Drosophila melanogaster: one gene and its partner. The protein of the gene in region 2 interacts with the protein of the main gene of each other region in a pairwise test. Each region holds a gene or a part of one and is shown on either strand. Other genes may lie near its edges.

Region 1 (3,755 bases), 1.1 Mb from region 2:
TTTGCTGTAAGCCTTCTCGGCACTCCGATGTCAAGGACATTGTAGCAACGAAATCAAATAAACAAATCAAATATTAAATGTGCCATTTCAGGCAGTTATTTGTTATTTGTGTCGAATGTCGTGCGAAATATGAAATAATTTTCGTTCTGCTATTTCCCTGCCACAATGCTGATTGGATGTCAGCTCAAGGGGGTAACTAAAATACGGCCGGTGGATAAGGAGAAAGCCTTTCTCTAACTCTCTCTAACTTGCCGCCACATGTGCAAAAGATAAAACACCCGATATTCGGGCGGCACTGCAACATTTTTCTTATTTACGAGCCACGTAGCCATAAAAGGCGACATAAATTTCCTAGAAACGCTCCTTCTGCCGACCAAAAAAAAAATGTTTGAGGATTTTTCGTTTGCCGAAATGCAGGCGGCAGTCGAAAGCCGTGAGGAATAAAGAAATTGATATAAATGCCAGGAAAAACTCGCACATCCCAGCGGAATAGGAGGAGATGGGGGGTCCTCGAATAAGGATGGATCGCACACATTGCGTTGAAATTGCGCGAAATGTCGTCAAAGTTTATCAAAATATTTAAATGAATGTCGCTTTGAAGCGCCGGGCGTCACGATGATTCAATCTCTGCAAGAGCCACTGGCGGGAATCACATTTTTCGAGAAGTCTTTAAGTTTTCCAAGACGCTTTTCCTAATGGCAAAACAATCTTCGATTATAACACCAAGCGGAGCACACTCTTGCCACTCACGGCAATAACCATTAATAAAAATGTTTGGCTTTTAAAATTAAACGACTCCGGCTGCACGTGCCGCCTGTATTTTCGGTGAAGACAGAAACTTTGAGGCAATTTCATTTCAATTGTGAGTGTGGAATTTAAGGCCATTTGCATATCAAAACCGAGGGGGAAAAACTCTGCCGAGCGAGAGTCCTTTTTGCCGCGCAGCTGGCGACGATTGCGAATCGCCTTCTCGACGGAAAACAATTAGCGGAAAATTCTCACAACTTTGGCAGGCGGAATTCGCGCCCAACGATTCGACGTAATTGCAGATACTTTTCGGCATCCGAAAAAGGGGGGCTGTCCAAATATCATTAACATGAATTTATAAACAATCGCGAAGAGGCTTAATTAAATTTTCCCCCCTCATTCCCTGCCGATGAAGTAGAACTTCTTTGTGGGATTCGATCACCATGGCGATTATATAAAGCATTCACAGACCATAAATGTGTGCAAACTTTCGGCGAATGGCAATTTTTTTTTCTTTTAAATAATTGTCCATAAATATAAGCGGACATAAAAAGGGCAACCGAGCGTTTAATCCGTTGTCGTATTTAATATATTGGCCATCCCGGCGAATGGCTGAATGGCGAATGGAGTAAGTAAAGTGAGCTCAGAATCCTTTGGCTCATAAAATGTCAAGGAAATTTTTATTGATGAGCCAAAGGCGAACGACGACGACAATGAAAACACAGCGCTTTCGCCTCGCCGAGATTTTCTCGTCCTTGCTGGTCCTTTTTCACGTTTACTGCTAGTTGTAACTTTTTTCCCCGTTTTCGAGGACACGCCATAACCGATGGCCGGGAGTTGGGCACGATGCGAAAGTGTGTCAAAGTATATCCCGGCACCTCCACACACAAACACACACACGCACACTCATACATACGTATGCATTTAGCACACGGTGGGTACACTTGCTAAAAGCAAAACCAACAAAACAATCTAGATACAAATTCCACTGTCACGTGTATCTAAAAAACAACGCACGCGTTTTTTTTTTTTTTTTGTTTACCATACATCCTTTGGCTATACCTTTTTCAATATCCATGCGATTTCTCGTAAATGCAACAATTTTCGGGCTGTTACTCGTTCACTGTCTCATTCACTAGTCACTATTCACATTCACCGATCACTGTTTACTGGTCACTGGTAACTGATTCCTTGCAGCGTACGAGTCGCGTGAACGCAGCGCCAGACGTTCGATCCGCACGATGTCCCGAAATCTACTGAAACTTGGAACTGAAACTGGTGACTTCGATGATATGCATTTCAAAGACACGAAATGTTACGCCTCGACGTTCGCTAACAGAGCTGAGCACTGTTAAGCGGCGCTTCGTGACTGTGAGCCGAACGCATACGAACGACCTACGCCAGCGCGCTCAAACCTGTTGGCCAACTGAGTGTGCAACAAACATGTTGTGTTTACGTTTTTTCCTTGGCCTAAGCGGTTTGAGCGTGTTGCTGTCCTCCATCAACATGTTGCACTTTTCGGGCTTGGCAACAAGTGCTTTTTGTTTCCAACTACCAGATACTCTTTCTATTTAACTGTATTTATGGTTGTAGTTATATTATGCCGTTAATTGTGAAATGTTACCAATGAGTATTGCATATAAAAATCATTTAAAATTTACATATTACAAACTCAAGCTGATTTTATTAAAATTAAATGTATATATCTAAGTCCTATTCAAAAAAAAAACGTATCAACAGAAGCTGCGTAATATATTGCTTAATTCAAATTGGACATTCAGCCGAAATAAAAATATTTTTGACAGATACACTAGGAAGCTCTGACACGGCAAAAAGTAGGACAAAATCGGTTCAGGGGAGATGGTCATTGTGGGTGGACGCGTTCAGCGGGGAGCTGTAACTTTTCTAATTGGCATTTTTCCGCAATGATTGCAGTTGAACACGCTGCGATAAAAGCTAATCGAATTATGCTTTTGGCAAATGCCACAACAGCTGCACGAAACCAGCAAAAACTAACAAACAATTATGGGTCTCTCAACTGGGGCGGGGAATGGGAAAATCGAATAGGGGGAGAATGGGCAAGGGTGGCTTATAACTCTGCTATGTGCGGCGTCATGTCAACGCCCAGCCAAGCAAAGCGAGGACCAAAAGGAGACGCAGCGGTTTGGAGTTTCCGGCAAAAAGTTAGTGGGCAAAGGAAAGAGCCAAAAAGGGATTTGTGTATGCGAAAAAATTTTACAAGCCATTAACAAAAATGTTGCGCCTCGGCATATGCCACATAAAATTCACTCAGCAGCAGCAGCAGCAGCAGTGGTAACAATGGAGGAGTCAGGCGCCTAACTCAGGCACACACAGATGGAAAGCGAGTGGAACGGTCGGAAAATAAGCGGCATAACCGCATTCCCAATACGCTATCCAAAATATTATAGCCCTAGAAAAGGGTAGCATTTGCTCTTTCATCAGTAGAGAATTATGATTATTTAAGAACAGATAAATAATTAAACTTTTTATAATAAATGTTCAACTATCAATCGCTGCAGCTTAATATATCTTCTGCATATATTCTTTCCTCATGGGCAGGTATGTACATATATGAATGGAGAAAACTCAATTATCCTTTGTGAGGGTACTGAAAAGAGCGAAACAAAGAGAGAGACTGATGCAAAAAGGAAGGAGGGGCGAAAAGCGAGTCGAATGCCAAAATGTGCAATGGAAGCGATCTTGGCGCCGCTGCGTCCAATGTGGGTGAAAGTCCGAGCGATGGGATGTGGCTGGTGGGTGGATTTGGGCGGTCCATATGGGGCAGGGAGCAGCGCACGCCTGCCGGAAACAGGAAAAACAAACAAGAGAATGTTGTGGAAGGAAGAAAACAATAACAACAACAGCAACAACAGAAAAACACATAAAAATAAAGCTGCGATACGAAAAGGCATGTAGGAAACAACAGAAGCGGGCAAAAAACAAAAAAAAAAACAACAGCAGCACGCCAACAAAAATGGCTGGATAAC
Region 2 (3,755 bases):
GTTTAGGTAAACCTTTAAAGCTGGACAGTTTTTGTGCTTCATCCCCACATTGTATTTTAAAATATATATACTATACACATAGATATCGTTGCAGAGATGCGATTAGTCTAGGCCCTCCTCCATCTCGTCATCCTCGTAATCTATGCCATCGTAGTCCGTCGAAGAGCGTGTCGTTAGCTGCAAGGATGAATCAATCGGAATTTGCAATTAACTGAGAATTTTGCACGTGCTCAAGCTGAGGCTGTCTACAAGAGTGTCTGGAGCCAACAGAAGACATTGAACCAGAACTATCGAATAAGCTCCATCAAGTCAAGAGTAAAGAACTACAAATTTCAGCCAAAAATACCCACCTGGTTGTAAATCCCACGCCATGCCGCAAACGCTCCCATGGCCAAGACGGCTCCCACGCCGGCTACTATTTTGGTGTTCAGCTCGGAGTCTAGGAACTTGCGCTCCGAGGCCGTCAGACTGGCCTCCGTGCCACTGGGTGTCTTTGTGAGCTTGACGGAACTGTATCCCTCGATGCGGAATATGTCCTTCGTGATGCGGTTGATAAAGTTCACTAGGTTTTGGCAGCCCTTAATGTGATTCTGCAGTGGATTGTTAGGCAGTGCGATCTTAAAGATGATGGCAAGATAGCTGTAGACAATGGCATCAAACTCGCTGTAGGTGTCGCCAAAGAACCACACCTTGCGACCCAATTTCCGGGAGAGCAGGTTCACCACTTTTTTGGCATTGACAACGAGCTGTAAAGTAAAATGATTAATTGATAGTTAAAGAAACGTCTTGCTTTTCACAACATTGATAAGATATATTGATAACAAAAGACCAATACATGAGAAACTGTTTCTTATTAATATAAACTGATGAAACGTTTCCAATCGAAATGCAGCTTGGGTGTAAAACATAGGTTAGATAAACAAATTAAAAAATCCTCGGATTTAAAGATACAATAATGTAATATGAGACAATATGAAATTGAAAGCACTCACGTAGTCGCCTTCGTGCTTGTCCAACTTGTCGTTCACATCGAAACCGGCCATCACCTGAACCACGTCGCAGGCTTCCCTTTGGTAGGACGACGGGTAGTAGAAGTTGAAGGGGAATGGCGTGCGCTTGGCGTAGAGGCCCCGCGTGGTTGTGTCAAAATTGTGAGGCTCTCCAAACAGGAAGTAGTGGTAGTAGGCATGCAGATTGGTGAACACCCAGTTGGCGTAGGCGGTGGACAAATGCTTTTGTTTAGTGCTTAAATGCGCATCTATCGGGTAACCCTGAAAGAATACGTCGAATTAAGCCCATAAAAAAACACATATCTATAAATAGAGCCTGCAGTTTGTTCACCCCGGCATTGTTTTGCTCACTCACCTCGAGATCCAGCACGCGCTTAATTTGCCTATAGCCCGCGAACTTCTGGTTGCCGATCTGCAGATACGGCAGCTTCCCGGCTCCCGAACGCAGCGGATTGGAGCTGGTCTGCACGTCCATGGGGCAGCGGGTGAATCGCAGGAGGCACTGTTTCCGGCAAAGAGGCGCTTTCATCAGTTTCTTTCATCATCTGCGATAATGGGCAAAACAGGCGTGCTGGCCGCCGTGTGATGCAACGGAACTTACCAGAGCACGTAAACATTCAAAATCTATGGACGGCAGTCCGTACTCCCCCTTGTACACATACAGCATGGCTCCCAGTTGCATCTCCATTGTGTCCTAGTCTATGCTTTGCTCGTACTCTTGTATTTAGCCGGTTTTCAACAGTCCACCTGCATATCAGCCATCCGAATTTGAATCCAAAAATATATGCCAGAATTTCTGGCCGACTGCTGCGAGTGCTTCAGACTGATAACTACTGGGCACTCGATATATCGCTCGAGCATATCGGCGCTTTATCGATTGCCGGCCAGGGATGTTGCTACTCGAAGTTTATTTTGGCTAATGAAAAGATACGGAATTATGTTTGAGCTTAATTGCTATTTATGTTTATCTTTATTGCTATTTTTATTATACTACCAAAAAATTGTAAGTTTTTATCTATATGCATTTTTACATATTCACATTATTTTACATTAGCTAGATCTAGCGAATGTTACCCAAATGTTTGGTCACCGCTGTTATCACGGAGCTATCGCAATTGGGGCATCTCCAACCCATCTGTTTGCGAAAAAAAACATTAATTTCTGATTTTCGCAGTAAATTAGTTAGCAGTCATGAATCTGATAAGCGGCATTAAGTTGTACATCGAGAAAATGTGCTCCGAGTCGGGACCGGGCATGAAAATCATTCTGCTGGACAAGGAGACGGTAAGTGCAAGGACTGACAATCAAATCCCCTGCCATATGATCAAAAATTCACATCATTCGCAGACCAGTATAATTTCGATGGCCTTTAGCCAATCGGACATGCTGCAACGGGAGGTGTACCTATTTGAGCGCCTGGACTCGGGAAGATCCAACGAGCGGTTAAAGTATCTAAAATGCATCGTCTTTATACGCCCCACCAAGCAGAACATCCAGCTACTGGCCAACGAGTTGCGGAACCCCAAATACAGCGCCTACTACATTTGTAAGTGGGTCAGTAGAAGCACCTTCGGAATAGTACTAAACTCATAAATAGATTTCAGCAACATCATTCCCCGGACGGACATTAAATACTTGGCAGAGTGCGACGAATCCGAATCGGTGCGAGAAGTGAAGGAACTGTATGCAGACTACCTGTGCGTCAACCCCAATCTGTTCTCATTAGGCATTCCCAATTGCATGGCGAATCTTAATTGGCTGCCGGACGCTCTCAACCGCAGCATGCAGGGCATCACAGCCGTGCTGTTGTCCCTTAAGCTGAACCCAGTGATCCGGTACCGAGCCGGTTCTCAGGCAGCGCAGCTTCTGGCCAAGCTCATATACGAGCAAATCACAAAAGAGTCCTCGCTATTCGACTTTCGCTCCAACATGGATGGCGCTGCGCCACCGCTGCTGCTTGTGCTGGACCGCAGGGACGATCCTGTGACGCCGCTTTTGCATCAGTGGACATACCAGGCCATGGTGCATGAGTTGCTGCACATAAAAAACAATCGATTGGACCTGTCCAATTGCCCCAATGTGCCGAAAGACTTCAAGGAGCTGGTCTTATCCGGTGATCAGGATGACTTCTATGGCAACAACATGTACGCCAACTACGGCGAAATCGGATCTACCATCAAACAACTGATGGAGGAGTTCCAGCGCAAGGCGAACGACCACAAGAAAGTGGAGAGCATAGCAGACATGAAGAACTTTATTGAGTCATATCCGCAGTTTAAAAAAATGTCTGGCACTGTGCAAAAGCATTTGTGTGTGATTGGAGAACTGTCGGCGCTGAGCAACAAGAGGAATCTCTTCGAGGTTTCCGAACTTGAACAGGAGATCGCTTGCAAGGCGGAGCACTCGGCCCAGCTGCAGAGAATCAAAAAACTAATTGCCGACGAACGGGTTTCCATCGATGATGCTCTTAAGTTGGTGGCACTTTATGCATTGCGATACGAGCGACACGCCAACTGCGACACATCTGGACTGCTGCAAATAATCAAAACGCGCGGTGGACGAGCGGCTATAGTGCCATCGTTGATTGAGTATGCTGGAACCCATGTACGACAAGGAGATCTCTTCAATATGGTGCGGATAACGGACGCCGTAAAGCTGACACGGAATTTGATTAAGGGCCTTAAGGGTGTGGAAAATGTCTTCACACAGCACACTCCTCTCCTGAAGGAAACTTTGGAGGACGTG

Evidence for each region.
Region 1: the proteins of Vps45 (region 2) and CG45263 interact in a two-hybrid assay, tested with the Drosophila melanogaster proteins (2 studies listed by BioGRID).

Annotation. Positions count from the first base shown.
Region 1 is NT_033777.3:8,475,610-8,479,364, forward strand, and holds the start of CG45263 (uncharacterized protein), read right to left. Parts: upstream 2,009-3,755; 5' UTR 1,810-2,008; intron 1-1,809.
Region 2 is NT_033777.3:9,561,825-9,565,579, forward strand, and holds the start of Vps45 (vacuolar protein sorting 45), read left to right. Parts: upstream 1-2,099; 5' UTR 2,100-2,201; coding exon 2,202-2,294; intron 2,295-2,357; coding exon 2,358-2,556; intron 2,557-2,607; coding exon 2,608-3,755. Other genes in the region: CG9393 (uncharacterized protein), read right to left, coding at 103-177, 351-746, 993-1,271, 1,366-1,512, 1,612-1,698.